2 linked regions of the Notamacropus eugenii genome follow. The protein of the gene in region 1 interacts with the protein of each later gene in a pairwise test. Links are inferred from orthologs where the notes say so. Each region holds a gene or a part of one and is shown on either strand. Other genes may lie near its edges.

What was found.
Region 2: the proteins of RIN1 (region 1) and RRAS2 interact in binary tests that used the Homo sapiens proteins (3 or more experiments, as listed by UniProt). The link is inferred for Notamacropus eugenii from reciprocal best matches to the Homo sapiens genes RIN1 and RRAS2.

The regions. Positions count from the first base shown.
Region 1 is NC_092873.1:18,936,723-18,947,384, reverse strand, and holds the start of RIN1 (ras and Rab interactor 1), read left to right. Parts: upstream 1-5,844; 5' UTR 5,845-5,969; coding exon 5,970-6,710; intron 6,711-7,086; coding exon of another isoform or gene 7,087-7,267; intron 7,268-7,408; coding exon 7,409-7,523; intron 7,524-7,615; coding exon 7,616-7,688; intron 7,689-7,877; coding exon 7,878-7,969; intron 7,970-8,248; coding exon 8,249-8,992; intron 8,993-9,380; coding exon 9,381-9,686; intron 9,687-10,298; coding exon 10,299-10,430; intron 10,431-10,548; coding exon 10,549-10,662. Other genes in the region: BRMS1 (breast cancer metastasis-suppressor 1), read left to right, coding at 155-314, 401-491, 755-882, 1,047-1,126, 1,206-1,302, 1,376-1,468, 2,525-2,589, 4,202-4,241 and 1 more. UniProt on the Homo sapiens protein: Ras effector protein, which may serve as an inhibitory modulator of neuronal plasticity in aversive memory formation. Can affect Ras signaling at different levels. First, by competing with RAF1 protein for binding to activated Ras.
Region 2 is NC_092877.1:37,804,248-37,814,203, reverse strand, and holds the start of RRAS2 (ras-related protein R-Ras2), read left to right. Parts: upstream 1-5,370; 5' UTR 5,371-5,663; coding exon 5,664-5,771; intron 5,772-9,956. UniProt on the Homo sapiens protein: GTP-binding protein with GTPase activity, involved in the regulation of MAPK signaling pathway and thereby controlling multiple cellular processes. Regulates craniofacial development.

The sequences.
Region 1 (10,662 bases):
GGAGGAGTGGAAACTTGGGACTAGAAGAGACCTGAGTGACCTCGTCCAGTCTTGTTATTTTACAGAGCTAAATTAGTCTTAGCCCACGGTTCTGTAGGGTTTTACGGCAGGCAAAGTATGGTCCCAAAAGATGCCCTCTCTTCTCAGAGTGACAATGCCGAGCCAGCCCCTGAGCAAAGAAGCCAAAACCTTGGAGGGGGATGGGGACAGGGATGGGGACTCTGCCCCAGAGATGAACGGGCTGGAAGAGGAGGAGGAAGGCAGTGAGGACGAGCAGAGTGCCAGCCAGACAGAGTCGGATGGCGAGAGCTCAGGTGAGCCTTTGGGACCCCTGTCCTCACCTCCACCCCACCCCGCACTGCTCCTGCTGGGACAGACTGACCGGCCCTGTGTCCTGCAGAAATGGATGATGAGGACTGTGAACGTCGCCGCGTCGAGTGCCTCGATGAGATGTCGGACCTGGAGAAGCAGTTCTCAGAACTCAAGGAGAAGTGAGTTCAGGGAGCTGCCTCCCTGCTCCCCTTTCAAAGCCTGGCATTCCTGGATCCCCTGAAGCTGAGTTGACACCCCGCCCCCCCAGAGGCAGGGGACCATGCTGGTGCAACCTTGCCATGGCATGATAAGAGGGCTTGGAAGACATGGGGCTGAATCCTGACTCTGCCACTAACTTTCTAGGTGACCTTGGGCCTCAGTTTCTCTCTCTGTCCAATGAGATGGTAGAGGTGGGTGGCATTCTTTGACTCTTGTTTCTCAGGCTGTTCAAGGAGCGACTGAGCCAGGTACGTTTTCGGCTAGAAGAGGTTGGGGCCGAACGGGCACCTGAGTACACCCAGCCCCTTGGAGGACTGCAGCGAAGTCTCAAGATTCGAATTCAGGTGGCAGGTGAGTGCCCTGACCCTGGGCCCCTGGAAGCTGTCTCTCCCCTTCCCAGGGGAGCTGTTCCTTCTCTCTCAGGCCCTGTCCCCACCACCACCTTTCTTGAGGTACCATCTGCCTGGGAGGTGCCACCCACCGGTCAAGATCTGCTCTTTCTCTCTTCCCCCCAGGCATCTACAAGGGCTTCTGTCTGGATGTGATCAGGACCAAGTATGAATGTGAGCTTCAGGGAGCCCGGCAGCACCTGGAGGTGAGTGGGAAGGGGGTACAGCAGAGCCAGAGGCAAGGGCACAGGTGCCCCCATGCCTGACCGCTGGCTTCCTTTTCAGAGTGAGCGGCTGCTGCTGTATGATGCCCTCCAGGGGGAGCTCCAGGAGCGGATTCAGCGCCTCGAGGAGGACCGCCAGAGCCTAGACATCAGCTCTGGTGAGGTGGGGGAGGGGGAACCTGGTAGGGTATGGGGTGAGGGCAGCCTGCTGACTCTCCCTCTCTGGCACAGAATGGTGGGATGACAAGGTGCACCCGAAGGGCAGCTCAAGATCCTGGGAGACCCTGCAGTCAGGCAAGAGGAAGAAGGCCCCGCTCGTCTCTGGTATCCTTATATCACAGGGGCCCTGGTGGAGGCCCCTCGAGGCAAGCCAGTATACAAGGGGCCCAGAGCCCAAGAGGCAAGGAAGGGATTGTGCCATACTCTGCAGGGAGGGCAGGGCTCACACCTGGAAGGAATCTTAGAGGCTCAACATTCTGGGCCTCCTGCTCTGCACAGGTTATGAAGGGCTGGGCCCAAAGGACAGAAGCCCAGCTCCAACCTGGGGCACCTGCACATCCTTCCTGTGAAGATGAGGTGGGGCCCCTTAGAGCTTCCATTCTGAGGCCCTTTTCAGGTCCTGGCTCTGACACATCCTGGCTGTCCTTCCCTGGGCAAGTCAGTCACTGCTTCAGGCCTTAGGTGGTCCTTCTGGGCTGTGTCAACATCAGGGGAGGGAACTGGAATCACAGCCCTGGCAGTTGTGGGGGTTATGCCAGGTGACATCAGAGCACTGGAAAGGAGAGGGGATTCACCTGGCACACATTAGGTACCTGCTGTGTGCCCGGGACTGCAGGCCCAAACTGTCCTTGCCCCTGGGAGCTTTAGGTCCAGAGAAAAGCCCCACAAGAATGTTGGAGTCAGATAGGGATGGGACCCCTGGGCCCGGGAAGGAGCCAGGATTTCTGTAGTGGGGTGAGAGGAGGCTGGGCATGGAGGCTGGAGACACAGGCTCCCAAAGTGGAGGCTGTCCCACTGGAAGGGTCCCTTTAAATGCCAAGCAGATAGGGAAGTTGTACTCAGTCCAAGGCAGTTGGGAACCACCTAAGCTGGGAATGGCCTGGGCCATGGGAGGACCCACCCTGGAGTCCTGTGGAGGCCTGAGACCCAGGGGGAGGCTTCAGGAGTCCAGCTTAGAGTCCAGAGGTGATTGAATAAGGAATGTAGCCTGAGAAGGATGACTTCTGAGGTCCCTGAGGCCTGGCCCTGATTGGCTTGGGGGTGGGTCTCTCTATACAATGATGATTATTCAAGTGACCTGGAGGATGGCAGAGGTGGGGGCAATGCCAATGTGGGTGGCCAGGCCTAGCTTCTAGTTTCCTTGACCCACGCCCTCTCCAGGTCCTTATATCGTCTACATGCTGGAGGATGTGGACATTCTGGAGGACTGGACAGCCATTAAGAAGGTAGGCAGATGAGGAGAGCAGCCAGGGGCAGGCGATGGCTGCTTTGACTTCTCTTATCTGGTGCCCTCCCAGCAGGGGCCTTTAGGAGAGGCCGCCTGGGACAGTCTGCTAAGGGCAGACACAATCACTGCCCTGGGGAGGGTGCAGGGAGTGGCAGCAGGCAGAAGGGAGGCTTAGATCAGAAGGTAAGGCACCCTGCTCCACTCCCAGGGGCAGAGTCCAAGTGTCCTTTGGAAAGCAGGCCTGGATGGAGTGGCTGGAGTTCGACCAAGGAAAGAGGGCCTGCCTCAGAGTCAGGACTTTGCCACCGCTAACTAGGTAGCTGTCATCATCCACAAATACGCATTTGGTGCAACATGAGTGCCAGGCACTATGCAAAGCCCTGGAATCCCTGCCCTCCAGTAGCTCCTGGTCTAGTGAAGGCTAAACAGGGTGGTTGGAGAAGGAAGACCCTGGAGCTCAGGGTGACCAGAGAGACTTCCCATAGGAAGGTGGGCTTGTGCAGAGATGGAGAGGGAGCACCCCTGTGGGGCTGGAGGGAACAGCCAGGAGGCTAGAGTGAAAGCAGGAAAGGTGAGTGGGGACTTGGAATGTTCTATATTTGCTCGTGCTAGTGTTTGGAGGGAGTCTGGAGTTAATGGGAGGGGGGGGTGATACGGTCAGACTTATGCTTTAGGGAGATCACTGTAGTGGGCAGAGACCTGAGGCAGGCAGACCTCCCAGCAGGCATTGCAGTAGTCCAGACTGTGTCAGGGGAGAGAAGGGTGTGTATTCTGGGAGGCTGAGAAGGCACAGGCCCTGGCTATGGAGGTCTGTTGAGTGTGTGGCATGCAGGGGGAGTCTAGGCTGAGAGAGAGGATGGTGGTACTCTCTACATGAGGTTGGAGCTCAGCTGGCTTAGGGCTGGGTGAATCCAGAATCAGCTGAATGGAAATGACCTTTGGATCCATGGGAACTGAGGATGGGTCTTCAGGGCAGGTGGGGCTCTCCCTGAACGGCCTCCATTTTTCCAGAAGTGTCTAAGCTTGGGGCAGGAGCCATCAAAGTCTTGAAGAGGAATGGGCAGGTCTGAGGAAGCTGCCCTGATGTGGGGAAGAGCCAGTGGAGGGTTAGGGGGAGGTGCCTACTGGAGATGACATCCCTTGTAGCAGGCCCAGTCAGCTCCATTTTGTGATGTTCACTGGTGCCATAGGTGGGAAGGCTGCAGATAGTAGGGGAGCTGGGGCTTGGAAAGGTGTGATCAGCCATAGGCAGTGGGTGTGGAGTGGAAGTGATCAAAGGGTCAAGATAGGGAAGGAAAGAGGGTATAGGGGGGCAGAGCTCAAGATAGGGAAGGAAAGAGGGTACAGGGGGGCAGAGGCCCCCTAACCCAAGGCTGAGGGTGTGACCTCTGTGCCCCATGTGGAGCTCCTGACGGGAGGGCAGGGGAGGGGTCAGCTGTCCATCTGCTGTCCTGCCTAGAAGCCCCTTGGAAGGCCATTGGGGTAGGAATCCAAGGCCCTGGTTCAAATCTCATCTCTCAAGTTTGCTTCTTGGTACATCCCCTAATCCCTGAGCCAGGAAGGACTTGGAGGCAGCATGGCAGTAGGGTACTTTTTCTTCTCTCCCCCAGGCTAAAGTCGCTGTGTCCCCACAGAAGAGGAAACCTGAGGGTAAGGGCAGAAGTGACCCCTTCAGGCCTGCCCATCACCCTCTTCACAGGGTCGAGGAAGGGGGTGGTCCTGTGGGGAATGTTAGCTCCCACTGCTCAGGGGAAGAGGGGGAGGGGTTTGTTGGCTCTCTGGCTGTGACCCTGGCTAACCACCAAGCAATCCAACCTTTCCAGTGCCACCTTGAACAGCTCTGATCCTCAAACGAGGATGCCCAAAAGACTCTGTTTGAGGCTGCTGGCCCTCCTTCCTGGGGCATCCACACAGCCCTGCCAGTCCCATTCTCCAGTCCCACCTAGACATGCTTCCCTCTCCTTCAGAAGGTCCACCTTCTTGGCCTGGGGCTACTGCCCTGCCACCTAGGTGGGACTGCCCATAGGTGATCTCATGTCTTCTAGCCCCTGAAGGGCAGACAAGCTGCACCCAAGGCCTGACCGGACACCTGGGGCTCCTGGACCGGCTCCTAGGCCCTCCAGCCACCAGATGACTCCATGGTCTGAACTCTACCACCCTTTTCTCCACCGTCTGGTCTCTTGACAGCTGGGATGCCACCGGGCTGTAGATGTGGGGCTGACTCAAATGTCCTGGATGCCCATCCTCAGACATGGGGGCCTCTTGGGTCTCCTGTCACTTTCACTCAGAGCCAGTAGACTCTTAGAATGGCCCAGTGTCAGCCAGCCTTTGCTAGCCCAGCCCCTAGGGCTCTGGAAGCCATGCTGTTGACCCAAGGCTGCCAGGGGTAGGGGCCCAGGGCCAGCTGGCATCTCTGCTGTTCCTCAGAAGCTCCTTGAAATGACATATTTTTGGATTGAGAACGAAGGAGCCCAGGTTTTCTAGGGTCCTGGGAATTAGAATCATGGAATCATAATTAAAATTTAATAATTAAAACAGCTCTGCCCTGCCTCTCGTGTACCTGTCCCGCATTTCCTCCCCTCCTGCCAGGAGACCTTAATGAGGCCTCCCGCTTTGGCAGGGTAGGGAAAACCCACCTTCTCCTGGAAGGGCATTCCCCCCCCCCCCCCGCTGGGAGCAGGGGACAGAGGCCCTTCAAGACCCCAGTGCCTGTGGGCCAGAGAAAGGTAGTGCTAGCATGGTCTGAGCTCTCTGCCAGCAGGCACCCTGACAAGCCGGGAGCCCAGGCAAACCAGGGATTAGAAATCTGTAAACTGGATTGGGAGCAGATCTCGGATTGACCTCAGAGGTCAGACAGGCTCAGGAATCCTGACAGGAGGGCTCGTTCTTGCTCTCTCCTGTTCCTTCCCCCTCAGTATTCCTCACAAATCAGAGGGGAAGGGACTTTAGGAAGCACCGGGTCCTAGGAGCCTACCAGGGCATCTTGTTCCAGATGATGAAAGAAGTCAATTGCCCACGCTCACACCAAGTGCCACAGAAAGGCGCACAGTGGGTAGAGTTCTGAGCCTCCAGGCAGTCAGGATCTGTGCTCAGATATGCCCGCAAATGGTCACTGATGGTGTCAGTCATCTAACTTGGGTCTGCCTCAGTTTCTTCAATTGTAAAATAGGAAGGGATATTTGTAATATGCTCAGAACAGTACCTGGCACATGGTAGGTGTTTAATACTTGTTCTAATCCCCCCACCCCAAAAAAGGGTGGAATCCAAACCCAGTTCCTCTCACTGCAAGCGCCTGCTCTTGCCCACTTGCCCCTGGCGTCTCTAACTCCAGTGACCTGTGAGAGGCCCCAGCTGGAGGCAGGGCAGGGCAGCTCAGGAATGTACATCCTGGGAGGAGTGGCTTCCAGTGTCCCAGACCTACCTGGCCCAGCCCAGCTGGATGGGACCCAAAAGGAGCTGGGTGGGAGGGGAGAAGGCAGAGAGGCCTTAGCTGGGCTGTGCACTGGTGACCTCAGAGCTGGGCTTTTCCCATCCCCCTTTAATGCTGTCAGTGCCACCCCCAGAAAAAGGGGGTGGTTACCATGGCAACGATGTGGGGGAAATGCAGCCTCCTCACCATGGCAACCTAAGAGCTACAAGAGAGATGCTGGGGGGAGGCAGCATGCAACCATGAGGGGGCACTCTCGGAGGGAGGGGACTGAACCCAAGGATGCCCCATGGGTGAGTCACCAAGCCCTGCGTGGGCCCAAGGCAGATGCCCAACTTAACCCGCTCCTGTCTGCAGGTTTGGGGGCGGGGAGAGCCTGGGATGAGAGAGTTGAACCGAGCTGCTCCGGGCATTGTGGTCCTGGAGCGCCTTGGGATGGTGAGCAGCTGGTGCTAACTGGAGCAGAGGCAGCTGGCACTGCGTGGGCCCAGAAGGGGTGCTGTGGGCAGAGAAGAGTTAACATGTTGGGGTGTGCCAGGGCTGAGCTCCTCTCAGGAAGTGTTACTCACTGGAAATGTGACTGCGCCTTCGCTCCGGGCCCTGGATTCTTAGTCTTGAGAGGAGGGAAAAGGGGCTCTGGAGAGCCCTGTGCCAACCATGGAGCTGTCTGGGGAAGCCAGCTCTGCTTCCAGGTAACTCCCCGGAGAAAAGTTGGGGAAGTTGGAGGCTGGGAGCTCGTGTGTGTCCCTGTGTGTGTGCGTGTGTCCCTGTGTGTGTCTCCCTCCCCACTGTGTGTGTGTTCCTGTGTGCTTGTGTGTGTGGGCGTGCGCTCATGAGACTGGGGTGAGGGGAAGGTTAACATGCAGGGGACAAGGAAGAGGAGAATACACAGGAGGTGGGGAGAGGAGACTGGACAGGGAAGGAAACTGAGGCAAGGAACACAAGTGGGAAGGAGAGCGCCCCCCCTCCCCAACCCCAGAAGAATCAGCTCCAAAGGCTCAGGGAAGGTCTGGCAGCAAAAAAGAGGCAGCTGTTTCTCAGACCCATGTCTCTGTCTCTTTCTTGCAGCCTGGCTGGAGACCCCATCTATGATGTCCCAGAGGCCAGGGGAGAGCAGACTGGCCAGCTCCAGTGCCCCGGGCGCACAGTGAGCCTGCGAGAGCGGCTGCTTCTCACCCAGCCCGTGTGGTTACAGCTTAGTGCAAATGCTGCAGCTGCCCTCCACGTGCTACAGAGGGAACCCCCTGGGGTGAGGGACGGTGGGTGGCCATGGGCCTTCCTCCAGGAGGCTAGGAAGGATGGAGGAGGAGGGAGACAAGAGGAGGCTGGGGGTATGTGAGGGAGAGGCCCAGGCCCCCTGGCCCTCTGAACCTCCCCCCTCCCTCACCAGACGTTCCTGGTTCGGAAGTCCAACACCAGACAGTGTAAGGCCCTGTGTGTCAGGCTCCCCAAGGCCTCTGGACCATCCTTTGTCTCCAGCCACGACATCCAGGAAACCCCTGAGGGTGAGGCCCGGGGTGGGGGAGGGGATGGGGGGGCTGGCAGCCTGAGGAGAGGGCTGCCTCTTCCCAGAACTGACACCTTCCCTTCCTTGCAGGCGTCTCCCTGGAGGGCTCTGAACTCTCGTTCCCAGACCTGATCCAGCTCATCTCCGCCTACTGTCACAGTCGGTGAGCAGACTGGTGCCCCCTACCCCCTACTCAGTGGGGAGCTCACAACATGCAAACCTGGACCCGACTCCCCCGCATCCGCCTCCCCTTCTCCCCATCCAGGAAGCCCCCCAATCCCGACTCGGACTCTGTTTGCAATAGAGCCTGGGTTCCCCTAGATCCTGACTCAGTCTCCTCTCTGCCATCCAGAGACATCCTGTTTCTCCAACTCCAGCTGCCCAGAGCCATCCGCAGGGCTACCACCCACAAGGAGCTAGAAGCTATATCTCATCTGGGAATGGGTCTGTACTCTTCTGCCCTTCTGAGCCACAGAGCCAGAGAGGAGGGTCCCAGTGGACTCAATCTCCCCCAGCTCCCTTCTGGGGGCAGTTACCCTTGGAAGAGACCTAAAGGGCCATCTCTGAGATGGTCCAAGCCCCTCATGTAAAAGATGGGAGGGAGATGGAGAGCCATGGGGCCACTGGGATCACCGAGCCCATCTGTGGGCTGGCCAGTCCCAGCCCCTTGTGTTACAAATGGGGAAACTGAGGCTCAGGGTCTCTGAATTCTCTTTTCCCCAGAGTTCTGGAACTCTTCTCTGAACAGCAAGGCCCAGGGAGGCCTAGCAGTCCCTCCCACCAAGGCCCCACCGATTCCCCGCCTGAAACCTCGGTCCCCAGAGGAGCTGGACCAGGGGACCGGAGGAGCCCTCTGCTTCTTCAATCCCTTGTTTCCTGGGGATTTGGGCCCAGCCAAACGGGAGAAATTCAAAAGGAGCTTCAAGATTCGGGTGTCCACTGAAACCTCCAGCCCACTGTCCCCCCCTGCTGTCCCACCGCCCCCCGTGCCGCTGCCCTCGGGGGGTCCTCCTGCCCAGACTCAAACTGAACCCCCTCGCAGGCTGCTGAGAAGGGAAAGCTCAGGGGGCTACCGGGTCCCAGGGAGTACTGGCCCAAGCCCAGCTCCTCTACCCTCCCTCCAGGAGGTGGACAGTGGCTCCCCCAGCAGCTCGGAGGACGAAGGTGGCCCTCCTGGGAGGCCGGGCTCATCCCCTCTCCCAGGGCGGAGGCGCCGGCTGCTTCGGTCCATGAGTGATGCTTTCTGTTCCCTCCTGGCCCCCGAGAGACAAGTGGCCCGAGCTGTGGTGGAGCTGGCCCGGGACAGACAGACAGTCACTGGGCAACTCGTACAGGACCTGCTGACCAAGGTGCGGGCAGGGCCTGAACCCCAGGAGCTACAGAAGGTGCGGGAGGTGCTGAGCCAAGCACAGACCCTGATGGTGGCTGAACTGGCCCAAGAAAAGCTATTAGCTGAGGAGAGACTGGGTGAGTGGCACCCCCTCCAGCTCTGAGACCTCAGGCTCATCCTCATCCCCATATTTCTCCCCTATTTCCTCAGTTCTGCCCCTCCCCCATGCTAGCTCCCCACTTTCCTACTCATTTCATCCTAAATGCTCTTATCACACTCCCCTGCCTCCAGCACATAGAGGGGCAACATGGGACAGTGCGTAGGACCTTGGCTGTAGGAAGCTCTGGATTTAAATCCTAGCTGAGCCTCAGTTTCCCCCTAAAGCGTTGGATCAGGAGCCTCTCCAGGCTCTAGGAGTGCTAGCTCTGTGACTCTACAATCCCCCTTCCCTCCCTGGCCCATCCCCTCCCTCCTTGCCCCCTCCCTGCCTTACCCTCCGGGATCTTTCCTCTTGCCCCTTTCCAGAGCTGGTGATAGAGAAATCTCTGCAGCGCTCAGTGCTGAAGCCCCTCCGGCCTCTCCTTCTGGCCCGCCTGAGGCTCCGCTTGGCTCAAGATGGATCCTTGGGCCGGCTGGTAGAGGGCCTCCAGCTGGCCAGGGCTCAGGGGCCCAGAGCCTTGGGAAGCTGCCTCAGTCTCCCCTCCCCATCTGAGATGGAGCGTATCCGGCAGAAGCTGCTGAAACTCCTCCAGGGCTACTCTCCCACGGCCAAGGTCACTCGTCTCCTGCAGGCCTGCAAGCTACTCTACAAGGCCCTGAGCAGCTGGGCAGGTACCTGCCTGAAGGGGCAGTATGGAGGACAGGGCATGTGGCATCTTATATGGGAGGGAGCTTAGAATGCATGACAGACCATGTCAGAGCCAGGAGGGACCTTCAAACTGAGAACTGGAGCATCCGCTTGCCCACTTCAAAGTCTCTGGGTCTCAGTTTCCCCCAAACCATCCTAAAAGGGACCACAGTGGCCCTGGGGGGAAGGAGAGCTGTCTTCCTTTGGTTTCCTGGCCTGAAGTCAATGGCCTCTCCTCCCCTACCTGCCCCTAGCATTTCTGGCTTCCAAGGAGGCCCCCAGTGCAGCTTTGGGCTGAAGGCTCAGTTGTCCAGAGATCCCATCCCTCTCATCCTCCCAAGACCTTAAAATCCAAACAGTGGAGGGGTCCGGGCTGGGCTGGAACCCCCCTTCCTTGTGGAACAGGGAGATGAACAGAGAAAGACCAATAGCCACTGGGGACTAGGGGACACAAAAGAAACACATCCCCAGGTATGCCTGAGCCAGAAGCTGGGGTGAGGCTGACCCAGGAACCACCCGGCCCCTGCAGGGTTTGTTCCCCAGCTGTAGTCTGTGGAAAAGACAGAAGGGGAGGCTAAGGGTTTCTCCCTCGGCAGGGGAGAATGCCGGGGCCGATGAATTCCTGCCTCTGCTCAGTGCTGTCCTGGCCCAGTGTGACCTCCCAGACCTGCTGCCCGAGACTGAGTACATAACAGAACTGCTTGAGCCCAGTCTGCTCACAGGGGAGGGTAAGCACCCCCCTCCTCATTCCTCCTCTCCCTCCTCCCTGTCCTACTCCCCCAATGCGGCCACCTGCCTCGACTAGCTTCTGTCCCATACCCTCACCTGAGACCTTCCTGTCCTCAGGGGGCTATTGCCTCACCAGCCTGGCAGCCAGCCTGACCCTGCTGGGGAGTTTGAGCCAGGCTGGCTCACAGCCCATCAGTCCATCCCAAGAGCTCCAACGCTCCCTCAGCCTCT
Region 2 (9,956 bases), on another chromosome or scaffold:
ATCAAATGTGATTATATTTGTAAAGCACTTAGTACAGTACCTGGCACACAGTAGGTGTTATATAAATGCTAATTGTTGTCATCATCATCATCACCATCATTGGACAGTGAGTGTCAGAGGAGGGCAACCAGAATTGTGAAGGGCCTCAAATTCAAGTCATATGAGGACTGCCTGAAAGTAGTGAAAGAAGAGAGACCTTAGAGGGAGCGGGAGATCTGCCTCGAATCATTCAGGTTTACAGCCTTAGAGTCAACCTTGACTTTTCCCTCTCCCTCAAACCCCTTATCCAATAATCTGCTGGGTCTTAATCTAGTCTGTTTCCAGCCACCATATTTCTTGCCTCCAGCCCCTTTCCTAACTGGGATACAACTCAGCCTCTATTTCATGGCCTTATCATTTCATCTAACAAAACAGCATTCCAATTGTTTTCCCAGCTCTAGCCTCTATCCTCTTCAATTCATTGTTCACACAGCTGCCAAACGGATATTCCTACAACATAGATCTGATCATATCATCTTGTATTCCAAAACCTTCAATGGCTCCCGATTGCCTCTAGGTTAAAATACAACATCCTCAACCTAGCTTTTAAAGCCCTTCATAATTTGATTTTCCCCTACCTATTCAGCATTATATGAAATTATTCCACTTACCTCACTCTCACTATCGTTTTCTAATTCCTCAAATACAGTATTTCATCACCCACCTCCATGCCTTTGTTCAAATGGTGCCACATTTCTGAAACGTACTGCCTTCTTTTCTACACTTGATAGAATCCCAAGCTTCCTTCTTATAGTAGCTCATAATCCACCCCTGGAACCAGAACTTTCTATTTTTTTACTTGGTGATACTTGCCTCTAATTCCCCTGCTATGAGGACAGAGACTAAACGCTTGCACATAGCACAGAGCTTTGCAAACAGTAAGTGCTAAATAAATATTTATTGAATTGAATGGAATTAAAGAGGGATTCAGCAGTTAGATGGTGCAGTGGACAGAGAGCAGAGCCTGAGTCAGAAAGTCTCGTCCTGAATTCAAATTCCATCTCAGACACTTACTAGCTATGTGACCCTAGGCAAGTCACTTAACCCAGCTTGCCTGAGTTTCCTCATCTGTAAAATGAGCTGGAGAAGGAAATGGCAAACCACTCCAGTATCTCTGCCAAGAAAACCCCAAAAGAAGTCATGAAGAGTCAGACATAGCTGAAACAACTCAACAACAATAAATACTGAAGAGGGGTTCATTATGGAGGAAGCCTGGCTTCAGAGAGCAGGAAGGGTAAGGCCCACTATAAGGAAAAAACCCCTTGTAGAACTATATAAAAGTGGAACATATTTCCTCAGGAGTCAGCGGGTTCCCCATCATTAGGGGTCTTCCAGCTAACGAAGGATAAACACTTTTCAGGTGTATTATAGAATAGATCTTCGCTCAGGTAGAGCTTGTACTATACAGTTTCTGGCTTGAACCTCTGCAGGCCCCTCTAATTATGGTTTTTTAAAAATGATTTCTGAGTGATGATAGACTGAAGACAGGAAGATCAGTTTTGAGGCTAAGACAATATTTTGGGGCTTGAATAAGGGTTACTGTGGGAGTGCAGATGGCCATAGAGTGGAACCTGGCAGTGTGTGTGTGTTCTTCCTTCGTTGCCAAAGAAGGCCATGCCATCAGAGAAATGATGACATGACTTGCACTTGACTTTGTTTTGAGTGAGGGAGGGCTGTGCAGGTCACCAGTCTCACTTCTCCTCCAGAGCCATCTGAATCCAGTGACCAGACATTCATCAGGATGACTGGAGATGACCCAGGATGAGGCAATTGGGGTTAAGTGACTTGCCCAAGGTCACACAGCTAGTGAGTGTCTGAGATGAGATTTGAACTCAGGTCCTCCTGACTCCTGCACCAGTGCTCTATCCACTGCACCACCTAGCTGCCCCAGGAGCCTGGCAGTAGACTGGCTGTGGGAGCTGAGAGAGACTCAAGAGGCCAAGGGGAATCTGTGGGATGAAATTCCCAGCTGGAAATGATTTAGTTCAACCCTCTGAGTTGAAACTGAGGCCCCACTAGATGATGCTTCTTACTTGGGACACAGGTAGCAGATGTTAAAGATGGGATTGGAAGTTGGGTCCCCTGACTCCCAAATCCTCGGGCTCCTTCCATGATACCATTCTATCTAAATAGTTAGCATCCCGCTAGTGAATGGGATCAAGAAGAGAGGAGAGTTTGGAACACATCTTTGGAGGGACACCCACTTGAGAAGGAGAAAGCAGTAGCAAAGGAAACAGGGAAGCAGAGCTGTGAGACAGAATCCAAAGTCGTAGAAAATCGTGGGTCAAGAAGGATGAGGGAATCCCAACTGCTGAAGGCCAATGACGATTTCTTTTATTTTCTTTTTGAGGAGGCAGCCAGAATATGTGACTCCTAAAATAGAAGTGCCTCTATGGTGTAGGCTTTGTTAGCCTGTCCTGTTCTCTGGGCCTGCAGACGCAGGCATAAGGAGCTCGGATTGTTTAGGAGAGGAGGAGCTGGACAGAAGGGAGACTGAATAACTCTCATTATGTCTCTGAAGGGCTATTCTTCAGGGATAGGCAGTCACAGAGGGGCACTGGATCCAAAGCCTGGCAGCCCTTTCTCTACCACTCCCCACAATATGCAGTTCTTTATCCTTTCTCTCTCTGTCTCTCTCCTCTTCCTCAGCCCGTATTCTTTGTCTTATACACACACACACACACACACACACACACACAATGCTATTTCTGGGACACCCAGTCATAGTGTCCCATATACAACTACCTTCCTTTTCCTATACCCCTAGAACACAGTCACTGTCCCACCTCCACCCTCCATATTCACAATCCCTGTTACACACCTACAATCATTGCATACAAGGTCAGTTTCACAAAAATAGCTACACTTCTGATCAAACATACTTACTACTAATATACAATGTCACATATCTATACCCTTCACACAGAGGGTATTACATCATTTATTCATTCGAGAAACATGCAGCAGACATTTATTAAGCAAGTGTTGGGGAATACAAAAAAAAGGCAAAAGATGGTACTTGGCTTCACTGAGCTCCCAGTCCAAGAGATGAGATTACCATGGGAACAAGTATAGAGAAGAAGAGAGCCGCAGGATAGTGCCTCAGGGAACACTCTTTAAATTTTATTCTTTCATTTTGAACTTAAACACCAAATAAAAAGGGCACCAGATATATAAAGTTCACCAGAAGAAGAGGATTGTACATGAAATCATGAATCTGTGATACAGAACTTATTTTTCCTTTTAAGAATGCAATAAAATCAGCATGTAGCGTTCAAAACTGTCTTGCTTGCTTATGATTCCTTCTGGCATTCCTTCTATTCTACCATGTACTGTCCTAAAAATGCTTCAAAAACCTCTTCCTTTTTGGTCTTTTTCTCTATGCCTAGGCTCCTCCTCCTTCCTTCTACCCCCATTGGAAAAAAGGAAAAAACAAAATCTTCTTAACAAACGTGTCTAGTCAAATAAAGCAAATTTCCACATTTGAATGTATCTCTTCTTCTGTACTTTGAGCCCATCACTCTCCACCAGGAGGTGGGTAACAAGCTTCATCTTGGCAAGTGGGGAGAGACAGGATACGCCCATTCTTTGAGACAGAATTAGAATCACAGAACCTCAAGAGTTGGATGGGACATCAGAGGCCACTAGCTCAGCTTGCACCTGAGAAAGGACGTCTACACAGCCGACAGGGTCATTCAGCCTGTGTCTGAAGACTCATTTGTTCCAAAGGAAGCCTATTCTCCTGTTGGAGGTACCTGGTGTAGTAGAAAGAGTGCTGGACTTGAGATCAGGAAGACCTGGCTTCAGAACCTGCCTCACGTGTTAGTGTTGAGGCAGATAATTCCTTGGCCCTTCATTTTTTCATCTATGTATGAGGAGGGAAGGGTGGGAGATGCCTTGTAGGGGCTGGGCTCCCCCGGGAGAGTCAGCACTATCTGTACATAGAATGTGGGGTTTGGACTCTAGGGACTTGAAGGTTCCTTTCAATTCTAAATGGATGATCCTATGATACAGGATTTCAATTTAACAAGCACTTATTAAGCACTTTCTATATGTAAAGTCAAAGGCAATAATAAAATCTGTTCAAATAGCTCCTGCCCTCAAGAAGTTTATAGTCTACTGAAAAAAAGACAAAGACAAAAAGTACCCAAGTGCCAGGCCTAGAGGCCTGAGGGCTATCCCAGTCTTACCTTACCTATCGCAGGCTGGCCAAACCGGATAAACGTATGAGAGAAGAGACTTTCCAGAGTCGAACAAGGGTTAGGCTTTATTCAGGGTCTTGGTTACATGTGCAGGGGGAACTCTTCCTTAGGAGAGAGGGGAATCTCCCAAGGAGGCAAAGATCTTACAGTAAGAGAATAGAAGCAGAAGTGGAAGTGGGGAGAGAGGGGAGAGGAGCCTTCTGTCCTGTAAGGGTCCCTCAGTGCTAAGAGTGCCTTCAGGCTTTCCTGACCCTACTTAAGTTCTCCTGCCGCATAGTTTGCACCTGAATACCGTGCCTGTTAGATAACACTAGGTGTGCTCAGATCCAGGCCAATTTCGAGGGCAGGGATGCTCTCTCCCAGCACTTTTCCCATGGGAAGAGGCGGAAATACACGAGATAGCTCGGTCTCACACCTCAATTCCCTGCTGTTCCCTGGGGGGCCTCATGAGAACTCTAAGGTTTAGAAGTCCTCACCTTTACCCGCCCGCCCGAGACTGTCCACATAGAACTGAGCTTACACCCCCAACACCCAAGAACTATGAGGGGGCAATGTAGTGGAGGCTTCTTCTAGGGCACACAATCCCCCACTCACCTGATGGCATAATCTGTCACACACACACACACAGTCACACAATCACACCCACACAGATACACACATGGTCACACAATCTGTCTCATACACACAGTCACACAATCACACCCTCACAGATACACACATGGTCACACAATCTGTCTCACACAGTCACACAATCTCACTCACACACATACACACGTGGTCACCCTGTTACACAATCTGTCACATCCACAAACATACAGGCACACAATCACACCCTCACAGATACACACGTGGTCACACAATCTGTCTCATACACACAGTCACACAATCACACAGTCACACAATCACACCCACACAGATACACGTGTGGTCGCACGCACGCACGCACACAGGGTCGCCCACCACCCCACCACGTTCGGGCCTCCGCAGGAAGCCTCCCCCCTCCCTGCCTCCCTCTCGCCCCCACCCCCGGGCCGGAGGCCCCGCCCCCGCCCCGCCCCCTCATGAATATCCCGGCCCAGATGAGCACGGGCCCCGCCCCGCCCCGCCATTTGTCGCGGCTCGGGAGGCTACGCTCGCTGCCCGGGCGCTGAGGAGGGAGGCTGAGGAGCGCGAACCCGGACCCCGGCCCTCGGCCGGGCCCCCCCGCCGCTCTCGCCCCGGCGGCTCCGCGCCCGCGCCCTCCCCTCGGGAGCCCCCGGCTCCTGCCCCGAAGACCCGGCCGCGGCGCCCCCCGCCCAGCCCGGGCCGCCCCGCAGCCCTCTCGCCCGCCGCGGCCCGCGCTCGGCCCCGGAGGGGTGGGGAAGGGAGCGGGGCCTCCGCAGGGGCCGGCCCCGGCTGGGCCGGGCCGGGCCGGACGCCCCCATGGCCACGGCGGGCTGGCGGGACGGCTCCGGGCAGGAGAAGTACCGGCTCGTGGTGGTGGGAGGAGGCGGCGTCGGCAAGTCGGCGCTCACCATCCAGTTCATCCAGGTGACCGCGGCGCCGCGCAGGGACGGGGGAGGGGGCTGTGCGGGGGGAGGGGACTGCCGGGGGGGAGGGGGGCCGTCCGGGGGAGGGGACTGCCGGGGGGAGGGGGGACTGCCGGGGGGAGGGGAGAAGGGGGGAGGGGGCTGAGGCTGCCGGGGTGGGGGAGGGGGGCCGTCCGGGGGAGGGGACTGCTGGGGGGCGGGGGGGGACTGGTGAGGGGAGGGGGCTGAGGCTGCCGGGGTGGGGGAGGCTGCCCCGAGAGGGGGAGGGGGGCCGTCCGGGGGAGGGGACTGCTGGGGGGAGGGGGCTGAGGCTGCCGGGGTGGGGGAGGCTGCCCCGAGAGGGGGAGGGGGAGGGGGGCCGTCCGAGGGGGAGGGGGGCCGTCCGGGGGAGGGGACTGCCTGGGGGCGGGGGGACTGGCGGGGGGCGGGGGGAGGGGGCTGAGGCTGCCCGGGGGCGGGAGGGGGCTGTCCTGGGGGGAGGGGCTGAGACTGCCCCCGGAGGTGGGGGGAGGGCCCGGGGCCCGGAAAGTTGTGGGTGCCCGCCTCCCCACGCAGTCCCCCAGTGGTACCGCTTTCTCGCCCTGCTTTACGCCCCGTCAGGCCCCGGGAGCCAGACTCCTCTGGAATGTGGAAGGGAAGGGCGGAGATTTTAGTCCACCTTATCTCCAGAGCCAGAGCCGGCCGGGGGGGTTTCTTTCCGTGTCTCCCCCCGACTTGTTGGTTTCAGAGCTTTGGGATCCCGGCTCTCCGCTCCCCCATCTGTTTGAAGATTTGGGGACCCCCCAGGGTGGGAGGGAGGGTCCTCTTAACACTTTTCCGTCCGTTGGAGGTCGTGTTAGGAGGGGTCCAACCTTGGGAATGCCTCCTGCTGGTTTAAAGGACTTCTCCGTGGGTTTGACTTGTGGTAAGACAAAGAGATGAGATTGTTTTGTGCACTTTATGCGCGTGTTAAAACCATCCCTCGTTCGGGTGGGATTGTAAAGATAGGGAAAAATGGTGCCTGTGGAGAAATGGAAGTGGAGCTGGAGAAACCCTTTCCTTCCCCGCCGTCCTGCCCGGTGCAGCTTTGATTGGGATACACCGAGCCTGGTAACAGCGTGCAGACTGTCTTCACAAACTGTTACTGTTACTAGTATCTCCGACCCTGCGAGGGTTAGGTGACTCCCCCGGCCTCATTCAGCTAGTGAGTGTGGGGGGGGCTGAGCTGACACCCAGGCCGGAGCCGACTGCTAGCTAGTGTTCTGTACACCATACCACATTGCCTTGGGAAATTTTGGAAAGTTTGAAGGACCTTAGCAATCATTTGGAAGCTAAGGCTTAGTTGAATGAACAAAATAATCCCTCATTATACGTGGTAAAGCAGGGACTGATACAATTCTGACTCCAGATCCAGCGCTCTTTCTATTTGAACACCCTTCCTTTGTTTTAGACTTATCTGACTTGTGCATCAACTCTACCTTCTCATCCTAAAATATTTTCTTGTCAATTCAAGTACATTTATTACGGTCCTCCTTTGTGCAAGACTCTTTTTTGTGGGTCAGCCACCCTTGGGCAGTGTTCTTGCATCTGGGTGAGGAAGATCAGAGGTGAAATACTTTGTTTAAATATAGTTCAGCAGATAGTTTTTAAGTCCTAACTTAAAGGGAAAGCTTCGTGGAGGAGGCTACCTGAACTAGGCTGGAAAAGAGGAAAGGTTGTCTACAAGTGGAGCTTTGGAAGAAATTCATTACAGATGTGGAGAACAATTTTTAGGATGAAAAAAATTAATTTCTTAGAATTTGCAGCTAGCAACAAGAATCTGATCTTTTAAATTCAGGATTTTTTCAATTAAAAAAAATCAGGTACTAGTACTGACAAACTTTATAAATACTACTTCTGTCAATTCTTGAACCCTAAGAGATAAGTTAGGTGGCCATTTCATGCAGACACTTACCCATATTCATGTTTGGTTTGTTGGCATATCCTGAAAAGTATGGTAATAAGTATAATTGAAATGTTTGGTAGGAATTGGGTTTTATATTTTTCCAGTCCATTGTTCTAAACAGGATACTTAAATAGCCTGTCCTTCCATTTCTACTTAATGGGTATTAACAACTACAAATATCACTAACATGTGGAAGTTGACATAATCACCTGTCATGTTGATGTTATGAGTAATAATACTCTTTGCAATAGTGTGGGGAGCAACTAAACAACCTACAAGCTGGTTACTTCAGTTTAACAGATACTTGTTAAGTACCTGGGCTGGTGCTGTGGTACAGAAGATTAAAAAAAAAAAAACCTGGTCCTGGCAATCAAAAAGTTTGGGGAGGATAGCATACATTCTGAAATGTAAATAGAAATGTGTTTACCAAGTAATGCAAAATAATTTTTGGATGGAGCAAGCGTTAACCATCTCAGGGATCTTGAAATCTCTGGTGTAGGAGATGGCACCTGAGTAATGACTTTAAGGGAAGCAAGGTATTCTACCACCTGGAGATGGAGGCAGTGTATTCTAAACACTGGGAATCATTTGGAACAGGGCTTGAAGGGGGTCAGTGGAATGCTGTGTGGGGAACAGCTTGCAGGCCAACGTGATTGGAATGGAAAGTGTGTGATGGAGAATATTATTAAATAACACTGGAAAAATAGTTTCCAGACTGAAAATTTGTGTTTTATTCTAGAAGTCCTCATACAGTTTGAGTTGGGGGTGACATGGTCAGACTTCTGTTTTAGGAATGTTAGTGTTTAGTAATATCAGTAATTAAGGCTTGGGCTGCTAAAAATTATTGGGACCAGTAAGATGAGGAAAAGGACCGCTTATGTTATCCCACCATTGACTTATCCTTTGTGGGTGCACATGAGCTATTAAAAAGATATGAAGAGTGGAGTAAACTGTATGATTTGGCTATAAAACCTGGGATGCTGTCATGTAGATATTTCCCAAGGGCTTAGGGGTAACATTAGGAAACTGATAGCAAAGCACTTTTTATAGCGTTTTTTTTTCTCTAGGGAGTATGGTCTCATACCTAGAACAAAGGGGGAGGTGGGAGGTAGGAATTATGGATTCTTTTCATGGCTCCACTGCTGATAAATTGTCTTACTTAAAACCACAAATGATTAAAAATTTTGTTTGGCATCCAGCTGTTTGAATCCTAAATGACTGTAATGATTAGAAATTCTTTGGGTGAAGAATAACAAGAGAAACTTGTGAAAGAAAGGCACGGAGTAGTGGACACAACACTGGACATGAAATTAGGAGATCTCACTTCCAGCTTTACTTTTGACACTTCATATCCCTGTGATCTTAGGCAAGGAAATTTACTTTGTGTTTTCTTGTTATAAAGTGGAGATGATCATACTTGCACTAGCCACTTTACAGTGTGCTTGTCAGAAAAGCATTTTGTAAGAGTGAAAACACTATAAATGGGTGTTGTCATTTAAAATACAAGTGCCTTTTTGGAAATCTTATTAATAAACATCATTTTGTGAGCATTGACTGCCTAGTTTGTAGAGAACATTGAGCTAGGTGCTCATTGATGCAAAGGAGGTTGAGACATGATCCTTCCCTTGGAAATTTGCAATTTAGTTGAGGAAAAGATGCCATATTTAGTTAAAATGTGTAGAGAATAATTTTTAGTCACCAAATGTAGCATAATGTCTAGAGAACCTGGCAGGCCTGGGTCGAGTCCCATTTATGACACATATTCAGGAAGGTGAGAAAGAGCATTCCCATGCCTGCTATAGTAACATGAAAGTTGGGAAGAGGAAGGGGTAGGGGTGGGGGAAAGATAATTAGTTCTTCTATTGAATGTGTTGAATTTGAGATGACTATGCACATCCATTGAGGGGTAGGAGGGGCAGTTGATGTGGGACAGGAGAAAGATGCACTTGGATGAAATAATCTGTATAAGCATGATGATTAAACTCATGGCAGTGGTGAAATCACCAAATGAAAGTGCATGGAGGGGAAAAGAGAAGACAGAGCTTTGAGTGCTGCCCAGCATTAGTGGACATACCTTGAAGTGAAGATCCAGTATATGAGTCAGAAGAGTTGTTAGACAGGTGGGAGGAGAACCAGGACAGGGCAATGTCATAACCATCTAGAGAGAAAAGAGTATCTGGGAGGAGATGGGCATCTACAGTGTCAGGGGCTGCAGAGCTGTCACAAAGATTGGGGGCTGAGAAGAGCCCAGTAGACTTGGCC